Yarrowia lipolytica: one gene and its partner. The protein of the gene in region 1 interacts with the protein of each later gene in a biochemical or structural test. Links are inferred from orthologs where the notes say so. Each region holds a gene or a part of one and is shown on either strand. Other genes may lie near its edges.

The links.
Region 2: the proteins of YALI1_E12454g (region 1) and YALI1_D03990g form a complex in vitro, tested with the Saccharomyces cerevisiae proteins (4 studies listed by BioGRID, with this or other methods). The link is inferred for Yarrowia lipolytica from reciprocal best matches to the Saccharomyces cerevisiae genes BUB2 and TEM1.

The regions. Positions count from the first base shown.
Region 1 is NC_090774.1:1,239,360-1,250,049, reverse strand, and holds YALI1_E12454g (uncharacterized protein), read left to right. Parts: upstream 1-4,664; coding exon 4,665-6,038; downstream 6,039-10,690. Other genes in the region: YALI1_E12496g (uncharacterized protein), read right to left, coding at 1-442; YALI1_E12482g (uncharacterized protein), read left to right, coding at 1,810-4,287; YALI1_E12421g (uncharacterized protein), read right to left, coding at 7,120-7,372, 7,827-7,915; YALI1_E12402g (uncharacterized protein), read right to left, coding at 8,012-9,817. UniProt on the Saccharomyces cerevisiae protein: Part of a checkpoint which monitors spindle integrity and prevents premature exit from mitosis. This cell-cycle arrest depends upon inhibition of the GTP-binding protein TEM1 by the BFA1/BUB2 complex.
Region 2 is NC_090773.1:394,711-405,032, reverse strand, and holds YALI1_D03990g (uncharacterized protein), read right to left. Parts: upstream 5,960-10,322; coding exon 5,335-5,959; intron 5,279-5,334; coding exon 5,097-5,278; downstream 1-5,096. Other genes in the region: YALI1_D04030g (uncharacterized protein), read left to right, coding at 1,946-2,464; YALI1_D04017g (uncharacterized protein), read right to left, coding at 2,573-2,856, 2,904-3,118, 3,164-3,270; YALI1_D03987g (uncharacterized protein), read left to right, coding at 6,245-6,727; YALI1_D03952g (uncharacterized protein), read left to right, coding at 9,790-10,322.

The DNA of each region.
Region 1 (10,690 bases):
CATAGCCCTTGAGAAGCTCGTCGAAATACGCTTTAGTTCGGGGGGTCCATAACGAGGGGTTTCTGGGCAAGGCCAAGACACCGACACGCACGGTGTTGGACTGGTTTCCGGTGTATGATGTGATGACGGTCACTTTTCGTCGTTCACACACCCACTGCTCGACCATGTAAGATTCGTAGCCATGAATCACTGCCTCCTCGCTCACCAGGCTGCACTGCTGTTCTTGTCTCAAGTAATGGAATGCCTTGAAGTCAACAAACAGATACCGCACCGTTTCTCCCTGAGGAAGCGTTCGCTTGGATGTTTTCTTTTCTGTAGTCACACACTTGTCGCTGTCGTCTGGACTCACTGCTGACGTCGAGCGAGAGTGTGTGCGGTGCATCATGTCCCTCAAATCATGCTGTCGTTCCTTCTCTCTGTCGTGGGCCACTATGTGGTGCATTTTTGTCGGAAAAGCAATAAATCGACTCCAGTTGCGAAATGGGTCAATAAAAAGACGTCCCCAAAGTCACCAGTCGAGGCTGTGCTCGTTTTTTAAGCGTCTGGTTGAGTCTGATGTGAGAGTCTGTTGTGAGAGTCTGTTGTGGGAGTCTCCCGGTTTGGGCCCTGTCGTAGAACCTACTTTGGGAAGGCTGGGTAAGACAGTGAGCTGGAATATCGGCTTGAGTTGTCTGTGCGACTTAATTCCGGGCAAATCCCTCCTGTCCGCGTCTGTTTGATGCTGCCTGGTGTGGGACTGTATATCGTGCAGAAGGCACCTATAATTAGTGCGGGCTGTGTGATGACGTAATATCGTCTGTGGGGAAATCACGTGTTTCAAAACTGACGCTGAGAGTCAATTGTTGAACAAATTGAGGTGAAACAGAAATCTGGTTTACTTACTAACTACAAGTAGTCACGTGCAACGTGCAAAAAAATACCATCCCCAAAAACTATTGCTCATACTCATATCCACACATACAGTTGCCACCAGCACCCGCCACCCAAACCGCCTACAAACTGTACTTTGCAACATAACTACTTCCATTGCACTACGGTTTTTTCTCGCAGCTTTACAGTTCTGTTGGGAGTTGCAATTTGAGAGAAGAACAGGAGCTGAACGGCGCAGTTTCCGTCGCATCTGAAATATGACAACGGAAATCGATTCTCCCAGTCTCGGGGATTCCGACGATACATTTTCCTGTCTCCTCTGATCACTTCCCGTCTAGATATAAGTATCATCCAACATTTTCTTTTTTCCTTTTTTATCCAGTTTTTTATCCAGTTTTTTTTCTTTTTTTTTCTTCTTCATTTCATACTGAATTTTTAACATTAAAATACGCCGACAGTCGTATCGTACTGTTGTAAGATTGCATCAAAAGTAAGGGCCCTATATGATTCACGAGTTGCGCGAAATGGGCGGAAATGGAAGCAAAAAAAGTCTCGAAAACGGACACCATTCGCTCCAGCTACACAAGATGACCCCAAGCTGCATCCCAGAGCTTATCGGAAAGAATCTGATAAGCCGCGGAGCCGACCCTAGAGTAAGATTGTACACGTAGTGCCAAGAAGCGGTGAAAAGTTGGTGGTGGTGAAAAATGCGGGGTTTTGAAGGTGCAACGAAAGCAAAGGGTATTAATAAGCCAATGAGATCATGTGACTAGGCTGTAGCACGGTCGTCACCAACATTTGTACCACCCTGGGACTCCTCCCTGTTGCATCTTTGGTCTCTTGCAGTCGGTCGTCCATGCAGCCAGACCTCTGCCACTTAGTAATGTTAAGGTTGACAAGTGGCATATCATCCTCTCGTCATCTACTCATACCGCCATCATGGAAACAGCTGCGATGGAACGTGAGGCGATATTTCGGTCGGCTGAAATGTCGCTGGTCCAATTGTACGTGGCCAGTGAAATCGGCCGAGACGTGGTTGCGGCTCTAGGAGAGTTGGGCGTGGTCATGTTCAGAGACCTCAACACCTCGGTCAACGTTTTTCAGCGGTCCTTCATCAAGGAAATTCGCCGCGTGGACGGCGTGGAGCGCCAATTGCGCGGCCTGCGGGCGCATATCGACAAGCATGGCGTGGCAATCGATGAGCAGCCCGAGGGAGTGGCGGCTCCGACTCTGGACGAGGTGGACAACATGTGTCACCAGGTCGGGGCTTTGGAGGAGCGCGTGGGACACCTGGACACAACCTGGAATGAGCTGGTTGACAAGCGTGCGCTGATTCTGGAACGTCGAGAAATGGTCCAGACGGCAGGCATCTTCTTTGCAGACGCCAGAGAAAACAGACACGAAATTCGAGCGTCTCTAGAGGGCGACCGAGCGGGCCTGTTGTACGACCTGGACGACCCTCAGCCAGACGTGGAGGCCGCAACAGTCACCTGGAACTCGGTGGCGGGGCTCTCGTTTGTCACCGGAGTCATCCCCTCGACCAAAACCGCCATTTTCGAGCGGATCCTGTGGCGATCTCTGCGTGGAAACCTGTATTTTCGACACCAGGCGATCGAAAAGCCGCTGGCGGGCGTTAGAAAGGACGTGTTCATTGTCTTTGGACACGGAGAGTCGCTGCTGGCGAAAATCAAGCGAATCGCCCTCACCCTGGACGCCACTCTGTACCCTGTCTCGGAGGACTTTGATACACGACGAGAACAGGTAGAAGAGCTAAACATCAAGCTTGCGGACGTGGACAACGTCCTAGGATCCACTAACAATGCGCTCATGACCGAGCTGGCTCTCGCTGCCAATACTCTGCCCCACTGGGAGGTTCTGGCCAACAAAGAAAAGGCCATCTACCACACTCTCAACATGTTCAACTACGACCAGACCCGTCGATGTCTGATCGCCGAGGGATGGATCCCCAAGGCGGACTTTAGAGCCGTCCAGGAGGTGCTCCGCGATGTGACTCTGTCGTCCGGAGTGGCCATCAATTCGATTCTCAACGAAATCAAAACGTCAAAGACTCCACCAACATTCCACAGAACCAACAAATTCACGGCGGCTTTCCAGCTCATTGTCGACGCGTACGGTATTGCGTCGTACCAGGAAATCAACCCTGGTTTGGCGACTGTTGTCACTTTTCCATTCATGTTTGCTATCATGTTTGGTGATTTGGGTCATGGTGTTATTCTGGCCCTGGCAGGACTCGTCATGGTGCTCAAGGAAAAGAGCATTCTCAAGATGCGAAACCGAGACGAAATCTTCGACATGGCCTTCTCGGGCAGATACATTGTGCTACTGATGGGCATCTTCTCGCTCTACACAGGTCTCATGTACAACGATATCTTTTCCAAGAGTATGACACTGTTCAGATCGGGATGGGCCTGGCCTGAGAGCTGGGAGGAAAAAGAGCGTATCACAGCCCACCAAACGGGAGTCTACCCCTTTGGCCTGGATCCCGCATGGCATGGAACAGACAACAACCTGCTGTTCACAAACTCGTACAAGATGAAGCTGTCGATTCTCATGGGTTTCACCCACATGAGCTACTCCTTCTTCTTCTCTTTCCTCAACTACAAGTTCTTCAACTCGCAGATTGATATTTGGGGCAATTTTGTACCTGGCTTGCTGTTCATGCAATCCATCTTCGGTTACCTTTCGCTCACCATTGTGTACAAGTGGTGCGTAGACTGGATTGCCAAGGATAAGACCCCTCCTGGTCTGCTGAACATGCTCATCAACATGTTTTTGAGCCCAGGCACCATCGATGCTCCTCTGTATCCCGGCCAAAAGTTTGTGCAGATCATTCTGGTGCTTATTGCGCTTGTCTGTGTTCCGTGGCTGCTCCTTCTCAAGCCGCTCTACCTGCGACGACAGCATAAGCAGACACAATATGACGCCATTCGACAGCCCAATGCCTACCATATTGGTGACACTGACGACGACGCAGACTCGTTCGATATGACCATTGAGGAGTTTGAAGAGGAAGGTGAGGGACACGAGCAGTTTGAGTTTGGAGAGGTGATGATCCACCAGGTGATTCATACCATTGAGTTCTGCCTCAACTGTGTGTCGCATACCGCTTCCTACCTGCGTCTATGGGCTCTGTCTCTGGCTCATGCCCAGCTGTCTACTGTGCTTTGGGACATGACTATCCAGGGCGCCTTTGGACCCACGGGACCCGCCGGTGTAGCCATGGTTGTGATCATGTTTGCCATGTGGTTTGTTCTGACGGTGGTCATTCTGGTGATGATGGAAGGAACATCTGCTATGCTTCATTCCCTCAGATTGCACTGGGTTGAGGCCATGTCCAAGTTTTTCGAGGGAGAGGGGTACGCCTATGCTCCGTTCAACTTCAAGGACCAGCAGTAGATGTTGGCCCATGAGTTTGGGGTCATTCCCTTGATCCAAACAATACAGCCGCAGCTGTACGTAGAACTATTAGAGGTGACTAGACGAGCCTACGATAATGTATTATGTGATTATGACTGACTTTTTGGTGAGACCAGCGACACTTGTCTGTACTTGTACTGTACCTGTAGCTCATTTTGTTGGTGGGTCCAGCAATCAAGTCAAAGCCATATTTCCCGAGCTCCGGCATTATATTATTCCACGCTATCGTACGCACCAGTTGGTTCTCACAGTGCTTTGCTCATACTCTTCCATTGGAGTGTTTACACTACTAAAAAGTCTCTGCACAACAGCACACAGCATCCGCCGGCGACCGTGCACCGGTCTGAAACTTGAAAATGCGGCCCCAGAAGGTCCATCCATACTCGTTTTCGAATCTGGCGCCAATCGATCAACTTTTCCGGCCCCCAGCGGCCTCCTCAACCCCTATCGACACTCCAGAGATTAAGATTCATGCACATGCACTACTTGTAAACATGGCGACTGGTGATGTTTCCAGTGCACCCGCAACCCCATCCAGTTCAGCCTTCGTGTCTCCTGAAAGCGATCCCATCAAAGTCACCGACTACCAGGTCGCCGATCCCCAATTTCCCACTTCAAACAACCAGCTTCGTGGCCCAAATCTCCACCTCCGACGCACCCCAAACAAAAGCAGCTCACACATGTCACGAAGAGACAGTTTGGAGAAGCTGGAACGCGACCTGCGCAAAACGTCCAGCATATCTTCGTTCAGCGAGCGCAAATCGCCGACCAAACCGCGCTCGCGCCGAAAAGATACAATCGAAAACTTCCTATCAAAGACTCCCATCATTCTCAAGAGCTCACTTGGACAGTTGCGATATCTCGTTCTGGTGGAGGGGTTGAAGGCCAACGACCAGGCAGAATGCACCTACCGAGCAACAGTGTGGTCTGTTTTGCTCCAGGTGCCTCCCACCCGTGCTGAAGACTACATCAGACTCATCAAGCTGGGCCCTTCGCCCATGTACGGCAAGATCCGAAACGACACGTTCAGGACAATGGCCACAGACACGGTGTTCAAGCAAAAGGTGCCGGAAGACGCGCTCATCCGAGTTCTCAACTCATACGCATGGAAAAATGAAATGCGCGAGCAAAAGGCGAGTCTGGAAGAGGGCATTGACCACCTGCAAAAATCACACCGAGATCAGTACGTTCAAGGTATGAACGTCCTCGCAGCCCCGTTCCTGTACGTCTGCAAAAGTGAGGCAATGGCATTCAATCTGCTGGACGTCATGTTGTCTCGGGACTGCCCTCTCTACGTAAAACCCACTCTGGAGGGAGTGCATTCTGCTCTGGCCCTCATCGACAAGTGTCTGGAGATCATTGACCCAACTCTTTACAAGTACCTCAACTCCAAGATGCTCAAGGCCGAGTTGTACGCGTTTGCATCGGTGCTCACGCTATCTGCTTGCACTCCGCCGCTGTCTGAGGTGGTCGTGCTGTGGGATTTCCTGTTTGCCTACGGGGTTCACATGAACGTGTTGTTTGTGATTGCGCAGGTCAATCTCATGCGAGACAAGCTGCTGGAGAGCAAGTCGCCCATGTCTCTTCTGCGGTCCCTGCCTCCATTGCGAGCCCAGGAGATTATCAAGCTGGGCATGAGTTTCGTTGCCAAGTTGCCCGAGGACTTGTATGATTTGTTGGTGAGGCATCCATATGACGAGGCGATATATGAGGAGGTCAAGACCATTTAAGGCGAGACGAGAGCGACAAGAACCAAGAGACAAGTCGCCAGAAGCGAGAGACAAGAAGTGGTCACAGCAAGGTATTTTACCACCTACAAGTAGGACGTTGACTGAAACGACCCACACTGCACATACAACCACGGTATTGTGCCCAGAGCTCGCCGTGCATACCTATTTATGATATACAAGAAATGCTTCATGACTTGACTTAGCTACAACGCGTTTACTGGACATGATCGGAAGGTGGAGTATTAGCACCACCAGTATCTCTGATGCAGTCCTCGTTCTCATGGATTCATCCAACCCTACTACAAGTACTGTAGCATACACTTCTCTGTAGTTACCCTGCCTGTGACGAAACACCTGACAATCGTTGAATGTACCAGTCGTTCAGGCAATGAGTGAGATGGACGTGATCTGAGGTCGTATCTTCGTATCTTCGTATCTTCGTATCTTCGTATATTCACGTCTTCACAACCCACCTGAAATGCTCTCTGTTGACTACCAAACTGATTCTTGGGTTCTCGCATCTCATCGACGTAAATTCCAGTCTGCAAGTTTTCCATTTTTTCCCATTTTTTATTGGTTTTTCCGGTTTTTTTCTTCCTTTTTTTTTTTCTTCTTTCCTTCCAAACACTATATTTGCGTGCATCAACATGATGAAAGCAAAGGGGGCGTGTGAGAAGTAAAATGATCCGGGGTAGACCTGGGGGCATTTGGGGGTCCAGAAGACGGCGAAAAACGACCGGCGGACCCTCGGTGTCGTTTCAGGCAACCTCACGGTCTCCAAACGCCGCTCCCAGCCCCAAATATCCACCTCCAGCATGGTTTCAGAGTTTGGTGCCATGTGGTGCGGTGCAGTGCAAGTCGAGGGCGGTCCAATAGAAAGCGCCATTGCGATCGGTGGCTAAAAACAGAAGCGCCAGTTGCCCCGAAAGTCAGGGTATATAAAGCGGGTGGTACGCTGTTTGGATTCTGTGAACCCCAAACTAACGGTAAGTACACCTGGAGAAAGACCCGATCCGCACAACCAATGATGAAAAACATTATGGTATTAGGAAGAGCCAACCTACAAAGAACATGGGGATACTCAACGACAAAAGAAAACAATCGTGATGTGATATCTGAACGTGGTCGCTTTTTTCAACCACCTTGCTAACCTAGCGTGAGGGAGTAGGGTCATGTCTGTGGGCTGAGTTTGATGGTGGGGGAGACGTTGCATCTCTGACTCGGCCCTCAACTTTATGCCTCGATACGAGTCTGAGAGTTTGGTGGACCATGGAGTATCTGTACCATAGAACGAGCAACGTTTCTCTCGTGGTTCATGTTCAACGTGTGGAATTCTATGTGTACGTCTTTTTATTTATTTATCTTTATTTATTGATCTTTATTTTATTTATCTTAATTTATTGATCTTTATTTATTTATTTATTTTCATTTTTATTTTTTAATCGCATTATTTTAAGAGAGAGCTGGGTCAGAGTTAATCCGTCGATCACATTCAGCGGTTTACCTACAGTACAAGTACTTGTCTTATTAAATATAGAGTTTAATGTATTAATGTTATAATAAAAAAAATTAAATAAAAAACACAATAATCTAAGATTTATTTTTATTTTTATTTTTATTTGTTTTTATTTTATTTTTTAATTATTTGTTTGACATTCCACGAGTGTTCAGAACTGCGACAATGTGAAAATCGCGCTCTTCCTACTCATTTTTCTACAAATTGCTTTCTTGCTGCTCATACCCTTATACAAAAATCCAACTATTCAAATGTACAATTAATGTAAAGACCTATAACCCCGAAGGAAACTCGGTATCATTATATCCAATCCAGCCAAAATCCATGATGACAAACACAATAATGATAGATGAACCTTCATATCAGAGTAGAGAGCGTCACAATGTCTAGCTCGTTCGCACTCCACTGCTCCGATTGAGAGTCCTGGAACAAGTGTCTCTCCGTTGCGCTCAACTATCTAAAACACATTCATGTCAAAACACTCCTCCGAGTAATAACTCGCAATGACACTTCTCCTGCTAAACCGCAGGCCCGTCAACTTCTGCATCGCCACTCGACTCGTTTCCACACTGGCAAACTTGACGTAAACCTTTCCCACACCTGGACGAGTCTCAAAGATTAGCCGTCGATACGACGCCTTCATGGCCTCGGGGTCAGGTCGTGGGATCTTGATTTGGACCTCTTCTCCTCCTCCATATTTGAGACACTCGGACTCGACCTGCTCGGTGATTTCTCTGTAGGCCACATCATCCAGCAGCTCGTCCAGAGTCACCAGGTTGAACAGAACAATGACCGACGACTCCGGCCGGCTCTTGACGTCATTCATGACCGTCACAATTCCCTTCAACCCGTTGTTGGACGAACACGACAACTGCGTGGGTCCTTCACATGCTAGCATTACCTTGAGGTTCTTTCCACCAATCACCTGTCCTGACAGCCCTGAAACGGCGTCCTTGACCACCTCGGGGTCCTTGTAGTCCACCAGAGCAATGCCCGCCGACTCCCGAGACGGCAGCTGTCGAATGAGCTGGAATGCAGAAAGCTCACCGAACGATGCTGTCAGCTGTCGCACCTGGTCCTCTTCTACGTTGAACGGAATATCCCACACAATGATTTTCGTGTTGGAGTCCTCCACCACAGAAGCCACCTCCTTCTCCTCGTCCAGCGATCTTCTTGAAACTTCGCTTCTCTCTGGCGTAGGACAAATGTAGTTGGACGGTCGTCGTATACTAATGGGGGGTCCCGAGTAATTGATACCTAGACCAGACAGAGCCAGGGCTAAGGTTGCCATTTCCGCAGAAAAGAACTCCACTAACACCTCGGGGAGACGAGGATGCTTGTAAACTCCGTCCACAATCCGTTCCTTGGATCCCTGCAGCTCCAGACCCTCGATGAAGTCTGTGAAGAAGCTCTTGATGGCCACCGTGTCGATCTGATCGGCAGGAATACCACTCAGAATCAGTCTTCGCGCCACCCGTGAAAACTCAGGTCGAACAGATCCCTTACCGTTGTTGATGGGTCCCGTGTCCACCAGAGGCATCATTGCTGCCGTCTCGTGGTCCGTGGGCTGATCAGGCAGACCTTCCACCAGTCCCCTCAACACATTATAGTTGACTTGGGTGGGACGTCCCGGTAACGGAAACAGACCCGATCGTTTGGCCAGCTCAGAACTGACCCGCTCATATCCTCGAGCCTTGACATCCCAGCCCGTGGGAGCAGACAATGGACGCTCGTCGAGAGGCACCACGCTATCGTCGATCGAAACGTCTCGATCTCGTTCGCGGGTTCGGTCACGTGCCCGTTCTCTGTCTCCTCTGTCTCTATCCCTATCCCTATCCCTATCCCTATCTCTGTCTCTGTCTCTGTCTCTGTCTCTGTCTCTGTCTCTGTCTCGATCACGTGGTCTGTCACGTGTGCGATCGTCGTCCCGTCGGTCCCGTCGGTCTCTACCTCCATCTCTGCTGTATCTGTCCCTTCGATCTCCTCGATCGCCGCGATCTCGATAATCTCGATCTCTGTGTCGTTCTCGCTCCCGCTCACGGTCCACCGAGTCGTCCCGTCGACGCCACCGCTGGTTACGGTACCGGTCCCGCTCGCGGTCTCGCTCACGGTCTCGGTCTCTGAAGTCCCGGTCCCGCTCTCGTTCTCGATCTCGGACATCTCGTTCGGTGTCGCGCGAGTCGTGGGAACGAGGTCGCGGCGGCTGTTGCGTGTCCAGCCCGCGCTGCGTCTGCGCCAAAAACTCCTCCACGCTGTTATTCATGCTGAAACAGACGGTTGGAGGGTGGTGATGTGGTGTGTGTACAGTTCAAACCAGTGAGTGCTGAGTAAGTACGCTGCAGGTGAAGAAGGACAAGCTTCACATCGGGTAGGGTAACCCAGGCAGGTCTGGTGGCAACCATACAACCCAGGGAGTAGACCGAGTAGAAGCAGATGCTTGGGGTATTAGGGCTTGGATGTCTTTTAAGGTCCACTTTTTGTGTCTGTGCTACTTTTTTTCTGCCCATTTTCAGAACTCACGTCCTTTCCTGGAAAAGTCTTCTTTACTTGACATTTTGTTAAGAGCAAAAGCATGCTGGGGGTTCATATTCGGTGTTCTAAAGATGCTAGAGAAATTGTAGATGAATAAAGCGATAGACCGCAAACATATTCTTAGCAAATGTTTCTTTTTGGCACAATTCATCTCCAAAAATGTCTTTAAAACTCCATCATAAAACCCCATCCCTTCAATCATTAGTTAGCGTTACACTTGGAAAATGATTACCTTTGGAACGAAATACTTATCTATTAGTTGGCTCCTCTTCTACACGACTAATCATCTTATCTTGACACATTTTGCATAGAAACAAACGAGATTCAAACGAGATTCAAGTACTCATCCACGCCCTTCATCCTCCTACAACTCCATCCTCCCTACAACTCCACACCATCACCGATCCAAACTTCTGTTTTCCACGCCTGATTTCTGCATCGTCGATGTGTGGAAGTTGGATGGAGTGAGACAGAAGAAACAAACAGAAGGGTCCAGAAGGGTCCAGAAACAGATGATGCACCGCGTGATACACAAGGCTGTCCTGTAGTGATTTATGAATGGTCTAGCCACACACCACTGATCCAAGATCGAGTACGAGTATGT
Region 2 (10,322 bases), on another chromosome or scaffold:
CCCTGGTAGCCGTGGTAGGCAGTCTCATCTCTCAGAGGGACTCGGTCATCGTCGTTCTGAAACGACGCTCGAGTAATGTCGCCTTCATGCTCGTGGAAATCATTGATGGTGTGATTGGGAGTCAACGAGTCCATCTGGTAGAGGTTAGACGTGTTACCATGGTAGCCGTACTCGCTGGGGTCCTCATAGTGGTTGCCGGAAGGGGTTCGGTTCACTCCGCTGACGTTGACTGTGGGAACAGGGTAGGGGGCGGAGGTGTTGGGTGTGTAGTTATACGAGGGGTTGTAGGACGTGTCTTGGTTGAGGTGGGGGTTTGAAAGGTTGGGATGGCCTGTATCGTTGTATCCCTCGTGATCAGAGTCACTCAACCGCTCACCTTCAAAAGGGTTGGGGTTGGGGCGTTGGTAGGACACTGGGTTAGCACTGTGGTCGAGAGTAAGTGGTCGTAGATCACGAGCTGTTTTTACACGATGATCAAAGCGAGTAGGAATTGGTGGTAGGTAGTCACGAGTGGAGACGATATCAGTGACAGTCAGACCTCTAAACGCCCGTCAAAGAGCAGACTGAAGTAGACGTATCAGAGACTATCATAGACTCGGTGGATGGCACCATGGTGCTACCAGAAGACTTTAGGCACATCCAATGGTGCAGGAGTATTGCTGGCTGTGCCGACTGTGGAGTCCAGGGGTGATGGTGCAGCCAGTCCAGACTTGGTAGAGATATCAGACAGCGGTGGGCTGTCTGGAGCGAAGACGACATACCAGTAGCGTCCAGAAGCACCCCAGAGTCTTACAAAAGTCGCACCAGAAGAACCCAAACGTTCATCCAAACCCACTCTTATTCATGTTCCAGTCCTGACACATCTGGTGACTCGGATCACGAACAGAGGTTGAGCAGAGCAGTCGAACACATTGTTATCGGTCGAACACAGGTAGAACACACCGTTATCGGTAGAACATATCGAGTGACTGGTTGGGTATTGCACCTAAATGACCCGCTCGACAGGCTCGTTGCCAACCTCCACTGGCTCTGTGGCGCCTCTATTCTCTCACTTGTAGCCAGATCGAAACCTGACTCCGTCTCATACTCACTAAGTCTGTTTTAGTGCGTCGAAAAAATGCGAATGTTGCGCAGTGAATGTGGAAAAGTCGTCTTTATCTGTGCTTGGCAGGGATTTTTCGTCGTCTAGCAGTGCAACCGTGTGGAACTTGTAACCAGGAACTTGTAGCTTGTCTCTCCTCAGCTTTTTCCCACGGTATTATATTAAGCCACATGTTTATATGCACGGTTGGAGATTTGAGTTGGATGTGAAACTCTGACGTGCACCTTGTTGCTAAAAGTAGAAGTGGAATGCACAATCCGACGACGGCGCAAATATGGTCGATTTTGGCCGGGAAAAGGGCCTCAGACCCATGTTGGAGCCCGTATCTTTCTCCTGACACCTTTTCCACCCACTTTTACCCCCTAAAGAGTCCTTTTCGACTCACCCTCTTCTTGCCTCCCCTCCCACTCTCTCTCTATACTCCTCCCTTCTCCTGGATAACCTTGTACGCGCGTGCCGTTAATACCAGATGCCACATCCACAGAGCAGCCAAACAATTTGAGAGAGAAAAAGAGGAGCTTTGAGATTCTCTGTACTTCCAAATTTGGCGGCTGTCCCATGGTAGCCACGTGGCCTCATATCCCCATCGCGCCTCCCAAATCTGCCATTTCCCGCAACCACCTTGCAACCATCTCGAAACCATCGCAACCAACTGGCTCCCCTCAAACCCCTATACACGTGAACCGATCGTATTTGTCTTGGCCGGCGTTAGCCTATAGTTGGAGAAAAGAGAGATGAGGCATAGCGCGCCGACACCCATTTTGGGGCTGTTTGGGGGGCCTTTTGGGCAAAATACGAAAATTCTGAGACACAAAAGCCTCCCCTTTCAAACACCCCCATCCCATGGCCATTACGGTTGTGTATACACCACGGCTATATCATAACACAATCTCTCTCAGCTCACCACAGACTAATAGAACCCAACTCTACCAACTCTCTCCCGTTTACATACTTCCCAAAAAGAGACACCACTGTACTGTAGGTTCGAACCCCTACCCTGCTCGCTTATTCCACGCATCTCGTATGTGGGCTATTTTTAGCCCGTGTGGAGATGGAGGTCATCATATTAGCGTGTATCAACCTGGCTCTTGTCACGGGGGTGCTCGGGGGACAGATAGGAGGCACTTTGAACGTCATCTTTTCAAACGCATGCATATTCTGAGTCCACACACGTCATCTCACTTCAACGGGCCAAAAATAGTCACAGAAACGGGCCAAAAGAATGCACCGGAGCCGTTTTTTTTTACCGACGATCGTGCACGGGAGGAAGCAAGAAAAGACAGATGGTTAAAAATAACACGCGTAACACGAGTGAGGAGAGTACTCGTAGGAGTGGGGGGAGTGGGGAGAGTGAGTAGATGACGTCATTCCGGGAAAGACTTGCTGTGTATTGCACTCGCAGTTGTAAGACTATCTTGGAGGTCTGGAAAAGTCTTCGAGTTGCTGAAGTTCGTCCCAAGTAATTCTCAACTAATTCTGACATCCCAACTCATCAACCTGAAACGAGACACCACCCCATCTTGCTGCGCCTAAACCGCCTCGTATAGCTCCTCCTCCTGCAAGGGGTGCAGTGGTTTCATAGGAGACCCAGAATACTGCGAGATCCAGTAGCACGCTCTCTTTTATTATTACCCCTGACTCAGGGTAATAGGTAAGGCTGATATACCTTCGACTCGTATCGTAGTGAGGCTGGTGGACTGGTTCTAGCAGAGCTGAGACTGAGGTACAGCTGTAGCTATGGCAACAAACACGATCTGGCCGCGACGTTGGCCCGCGAGACTTTTCGGACAGTAATGCACACAGCCCGATTTGTCGACGCAGTCTTCAAACGGCGCATAATACTGGGGCTGGAACAATGGGATCTTTCCAGTAAACTTGTGCGCCACATTGTCTGTTGTAGGCAGTGTCAGTTGTATCGTAGGCAGTGTCCGCTGTAGACCGCGTCTGTGGCGAGCAATGTCTGTCGTAGGCAATGTGAATCGTAGGGACTGTGTGCTCTGATTTCTGGAGTGCTCCCTGAACTCTGGTGTGCCCCTGTGCTCTATTGTACCTCAGAAAAACATCCTGTGATGACGACTTGTAGATAAGAACCTTACGTAGAGCACACTGAACACTCGACTCCTGTACCCTTCAGTCATGATGCCACCCTGGCTTGTCAAAGGACTCATACCACAGGTTCTCGACACAACGTCTCGTGACGCAACAGCAGTGTTAACTTGAGTTCTTCGTGGCGGCAGAAGAACCCTGTGTTCTGACTTGGCACATGGGTGTGCGAATGAGTAGTTGCCCAAACATCCCTATCCGTATCAGTGTTCTGTGAAGCAGTCCATCAGTAGAACCTAACCGACAGAACTCAGTGAGATCGTCTCGAGATATACAAGGAACAGTCGAGATCGCGTTCTGAAGTCGCCAAGTCCACTTTGATGGGGTAGAAGCAGGACAATCGAGGGTTATCGTTGATACTAACACCAATTGGGTCAGTCCATCTGTGTATCTCTGTTCTGCCATTTGCCGTGTTCACAACCGCAGCTCCTCCACTTGGAGATCGCCACCTATAGCCACCACTCCACTCCAACACAAACACCAACAGCGAATTGGAGACGAAACATGATTGCATCTGCCGCTTTGTTGGTGTCTGTGCCGTTGAAAAAGTGGTGTGAAGGAGGAAAAGTGTGTTCAGGTGGTGGGTCTACTTGTAGTTTAAGGTGTCTAGACAGTTGAGGATTTACTACAGTACAAAACAGTAACGTCAAGTAACAAGTGTCTACAAAATAGACAGCGATGGATATTAGAAGATGGGAATATCACAGAGATCTTCAATAGAAACAATTGTGTATCTCTAAGCGTTTATTTCAAATAAATGTGGACGATGAGACGAGCTGTGTCCTGTTGTTTCAGGCTAACTAATTCCAACTAGGTTCTCAACTATGATTGAGAGATTAAACCAAGATAAAACCAAAACGAGATATTGTTGTAACCGATGTCATAGGATGGATAAGAGAAATCTGAGAATGTTTTATTATAAAATACATCTCATTATCAGTATTATGCCAGAAAAATACTTACTTAATATACAAAATGGAGATGTCGCGGCCGACCTCATTCAGCCATGTGCCCACTCAAACTTCGGTATCTGTCAAATATGGGTGACCGTTTTTGGAGTAACTTTACATCCTTTCCAACACACTTTCCACTAAAAGTTGCGATAAAAGAATGTACAATCTGTCCCATTTCACCCATTTTATAGTACTAATCTGTCGTTATTTCAGTCTTATTGTCACTACAACTACAACCTCTTGAAATGAGACCATTATATGAACCTGTCATTCCAACTAAACCCAACAAACTTACCAAGTTAACATACTTGGAAATATAAATATGTTATTAAAAAAATTATAAAGATGTTTTGCAAGATTAGCGGAGGCGTCGAAGATGGTTTTTCTTTTATTTACTCTCAAAAACTTATCTAATACTTTGATAATTGCAAAAATATCCCTCCAATGATTTCATATGGACCTGTCCTGTTCTTGTAGCATTGTGCTGTGGACCATATATAAACACCTTAGGCAATTCTACGGTATCGAGCACTTCAAATTTCTGCTCTATTGAGATATTTGATCATCAATAGGACCGATTCTGGTCTTCTACATGAAGAGCTCTTTAATTACTGTACATACTGTAGTAACACCCCAGTATGAAAAACCTGCCGGTCGGTCTCTATCGCTTCTTCGTGTCCCTACTTCTACTTGTAGCTGCTTTTCCGTGTGTATCGATGAAAACCTGAAGTAGAAGACCGACAAAATGTCCACCCAGCAGAGAAAGAATCATAGTCAGATTCAATCAGGTCATCCAGATCATCCAGATCATCCAGATCATCCAGATCATCCAGATGTTCGATAGAGAATCTAGACTGTTTACATCTACATTACCTACCAGGCACCCTGGTACATCTCAACCTACACATCACTCCAAGTCAATGCTTCATTTCTACTGTTCAGATGTCCACTTGACAGGCTGAGCTAGGCTGAGTCTGTTCGGGCGTGTTCGGGCGTGCTCGGGTCTGTTGTGCCTTCCTGCCAATTCGGCTCATCCTCCGACCTGGTTTTCCTCCTGTCTGGTCGTCCTCCTGCTTGGTTCGCTCTACCCATCCTCCTCGGCCCATCCACCCCTCCTCGGCTCATCCTCCTGTCTGGCTCACAGGTTGCGCCTGCTCGCTATAAATAATTACTGACCAACACCTTGGTACACCAAAATGGGCTCGCCAGTGTTGGTAATTTCCGGAATCGTCAGCTTCAGGTCAAACGCCTTGGACAGCACGATTTTGAAAATCTTTTGCACGTTGATGGAATGCGACGTGGAGCAGAAAATGAGCGACGCCTTCATGGCCTTGGCAAACTTCTTGGCCTGCTGGGTGATTTCCTCCTGGTCCTCCTTGGGTAACTGCACAAACAGATCGTACTTGGTGCCCACCAGAAACGGAATCGCCGTCTTGTTGAACCCCCGAGCCTGCCGGTACCACTCCTTGACGCTGTTGAGAGTCGATTTTCGCGTGAGATCAAACATGAACAGAATCGCCACAGAGTCGTTGGACACCAGCGGAAGCATGTTGACAAACTCCCGCTGGCCACCCAGATCCCAAATCAGAAACGTAATCTCCGTATCTCGTATCGACACCGTTTTTTCCATGAAGTTCACCCCCAAAGTCTGCACGTAGTCCTCGTCAAAATTTCCCTCGGCATACTTGACCATCAGCGACGTTTTGCCGATTTGCGCGTCTCCAATGAGCCCAATTTTCAGCGACACACTGTTCTTGTGTGGCACATTCATGTCCACAGGCACCGTTTTCTCTTGTTCCATGGTTGCAAATAAGTCTGGATATTGTTAGTGCTGTGGGGTTCGTGATGGTGGTGGAGTTGTGTTTTGATACGGTGTAGGTTGGATTAGGGTTTGAGCGGAATTCCCGTAAATCGGCAACTGTGGGCGCTGGAGTAGACATGGAAGGTGAACGTGACTTGTGGTGCAATTGTCTCTCACGTGACCATTTTCGGCGCGTAAATCCGACCGCAAACACGTCCGTTGCTCCCACGTGACCCGTTGCTATGACACTTGTTGTGGCCAACCTAAAAAATCCCATCTAGGGGTATGTCAAATATTCACCAGTGTAGCCCCAAAAGACGTTGGATGGTGGTTAAATTGGTGCCATTGGAATCGCTGTTCTTTGAGGGATACAATGGTATTATTTGTTTTGTAAATAGTTTACTTTTCATAAATGAGGCTGAAAACGCGCATTTACCGTTGTCAGTGCATTGTGACGTGGTGGTGATGAGAAGAAGACATCAATGTGGTCTAGAGGCCGTGGTTTGGCGGTTCACAAGACCTTTTGCGCTTTTTTGCCTGATTTCATGCCATTTTTGGCCATTATCCCGGTCTCAGAGTTTTGACATATGTCACCAATTTAGACTGTACAAATCTGTACATACAACCGGGCAATCTCTGTTTATATATTTTGTGCAATATCGGCGATATTTTTTTCCTTCAATATTCGAGAGAACCCCCATAATGACGCATGGGAATGGCTGGACACGTGACTATTCACGTGACCAGACCTGGGGGGGGGGTTGGTAGAGGATCTGGTTGAGCTATACAGTTTGGTACATACGAGTATCGTATTACTCAGCTACAAACTGTAGGGCCTCTACAAGTAAGGGGAGTGTGACACGTGATACGCCGGAAAGTCACGTGATACGCCGGAAAGTCACGTTTTAAAACGAAAGTCACGTGATAGACGGGAAAGTCGCGGACACAATCTGATCCACATGAGGTCGGTCTTTTACAAGGAGGTACTCCTAATTGAGGGTCACGACAGAATCGACTGTTGTCACGTGACATTAGGAACGGCGATACTATCGATACGAGTACGAGTGCTCTGAATCACGTGAATATACGATTCTCGCGACACTGATCACGTGAATATTTTTGTCGAGTGTAGGAGAATGAGTTGAAGATGTACAGTATCGATCGTCGCCTAGATTCACGCCCACTACAGTACATCTGTACTCGCACAGGTTCGATTCTTGCTTCTACACATTTAAACCACAATTAGCACGATTTTTCAAGACTGGAGATTTTCATGTCTGATCTGATCATCTCTTTAGAAGACTTATAATCTCTCTACAAGTACCGTTCTTGTACTTATATTTCTCTTCTACCGTCCACAATTGACAGCTTTGGGGTCTTGGACTGTCTTATACCAGCAACATCTTTTCCAGTATGTACAGTACATACTGCACAAGTATTGGTAGATCGTACCAGCGACATATGACACCAGAAACATATGGCATCAGAGAGAACACCACCAACTGGTCATTTCCCGTCATGCACGAGCTCGCCAGCGCTCTGCGGGGTTTGATTGTGATCTGCACCGTGCATATATTGGTTTTGTAGGAGGCGGAGTCCCGAAAAAAGTTCCAGGAGAAAAGTGTTCAGTGCTAAGTGTGAGTCTAGTATCTCCCCAACTAAATTGCGAGAAATATACATTTGCACACTTAGGAAACCGGACCACAACCAACTGGAGTCTCCTGACTAATCATCCACCTCTCGTGACTAATGCACCAATCAAAAGCCCGAGCTGTTATCTCACTTTCCCCACCAATTGCGGCCTGAATCATGCACCGTGGGCCGAGGCATGTGACACGCAGAGCAAGGCTATGTGAGGTTTGGGTCTGATCTGGAGCTCTTCTGATCAGGTACATGGTCTTCTGGGCGACACCGACGATGTCGCACGGAGGTTTGCTGCGGCACGTGCTCCCCCAAAATCGGCTAAAGACGCCGTTGTCGCTCCACAAAGAGTCCCTTGCGTGTGATCGGGCGGGGGTTGAGTGCCTGAGCGATATCGGCGTGGAGTTTATATTTTTCACCAAAGTCTAAAATTTTCACGCAAAGAGTCACGCTCAGTGAGATGCTCAACTCCGGCAGTATTCATGCACTCTGGACCTAATTCGCTGTGGCCGGTCACACGGCTATGACCGTCATCGGTTTCGGTGCGTCCGAGGAGCTTAGAGTGTGAGTGCATATGTGGGGGGGGGAGGAGCGAGGAATGTGAATAGCAGGGTGAATTTTAGTAAGTAATCGGATCCGAGGGTAGAGAAAGAACGAGGGAAGCTCAAGGAGTCCAATGGTAAAGTCCGCTTTGAATTATACCAACTATTGACCGAGATATTGCCTTCGAACCAACGGTTGTTGAAACCTAATGTGTTCTATGCCGGCCCTGTGGGCGCGAGATATGGGGAAGCGAGAGGAGCGGGAGCGGAGTTGATTGGAGTGGTGACAATGTCGCTGTCGAGAAGCGATATCGGTAGCTTTCGGAGTGTCGATATCACCGAGCCTCAGGGAACAATGGAGGTCCGGGGGACGTTGAAGTACAGTATACCTACTGACTGTCATATAGTACGGGATCCAGGGATTACGACAGTGGGTAGGTCTATAAGAAACAGAGGCTCATCAGCTATGGGGAAAGATTAACAGGTACAGTTGTATGAAACTTGAAAGTGGCAGCACAGACACTCTTATACTACGACTACTTGTAGTACTGTACTGGGAGTCTCCTCCTTGAAGCCTGTACGAAAGTCGCCTACAAGACTGTCCCCAAGTCCGGATCTGTTGGACTCTGGCATCCATCTTGGCCCAGATCGGATCTAAGACACTGGCGTGTCGCTAAACTAACCCTCCGACGGGGCTGTTCATTCACCTCCGGTCTATTAAAAGTGTAATAATGGTCTTTGTTAGTCTGTCTGGAGGCGAGAGAATTGTGGGGTAAGATGATGGAGTGGGTGTAGTGAGTTTAGTGAGAGAGTGTGGTAGCGAGTGGACGGCTAGATGTAGAGCTCGAATTGAGTGGTTATGAGTGGACCATGTTGTACTCCGGCCGAGATTACAAGTGGTTGAACGCCATCAACCTCATCAACGACGTCGCTGAAAAATGACGGAATCTTCAACTCTTGGATGTATTAACAATCCCGTGACAATCAGACACCAGCCAACTCCAGCAGACAGAGCAATTGATCTAACCATACTACTGTACCTGTAGTACGTAATACAGTAGTACCAGATGTACAGTGAGTCACCACCACCTATCTTGTACCCCATCTCCACCCAGCTCCATGACTCAATGCTTCTGTCTCACCGCTCGTCACCGCTCGTCACCGCTCGTCACCGCTGCTGCCTCGCCGTTCCCATCGGCCCCTACATCGGCATCCACATCGGCATCCACATCGGCATCACCATCGGCATATCACTCACTCACTGTCTGCATCTATCCATGACTCTTTTTTCGCTGCAAAATTCAAACCGTAAATCCACTCCAGCGACATCGGCAGACTGCTGCCAAACCTTGATCTGATTTGCGGCCTCCCGATTGGCCAATTGCCAACCTAAACTTTTCATCTGCTCCCAATCGCCTTGTTGTCGGAGCACTGTAACCTTAGCTCCAAAGTGCCCAACGTGGTCTATATAACGACGCTGAAAGTCCGCCGATTTTTTCTCTCTTTCTTCTCTCACAACCAATCCCCCCCAACACAACACCACAGTAATGTCTGCCCGACTTTTCTCCACTGCCTCTCGACAGGCTGCTCTCGAGCCCGCCGTTGCCCGAGTTGGCCACCGTGTGTCTGCCTCCCGATCCCATCTCCATGGCTGCTACCCGACCCGCCTTCAAGCTGTCCGCCCCCGCCGTGGCCCGAACCATCAAGACCATCTCCTTCAACGGAAAGGAGGACGAGATTGTCCACGAGCGAGCCGACTGGCCCCAGGAGAAGCTGCTCGACTACTTCAAGAACGACACCATTGCTCTGATCGGCTACGGCTCCCAGGGCTACGGCCAGGGTCTCAACATGCGAGACAACGGCCTCAACGTCATCATCGGAGTCCGAAAGGACGGCGCCTCGTGGAAGGCCGCTCAGGAGGACGGCTGGGTCCCCGGCAAGAACCTCTTTGACGTCAACGAGGCCATTGGCAAGGGAACTATCATCATGAACCTGCTGTCCGACGCCGCCCAGTCCGAGACCTGGCCCCAGATCAAGCCCCTCATCACCAAGGGCAAGACTCTCTACTTCTCCCACGGCTTCTCCCCCGTCTTCAAGGATCTGACTAAGGTCGAGACCCCCGCCGACGTTGACGTCATCCTCGTGGCCCCCAAGGGATCCGGCCGAACCGTCCGATCTCT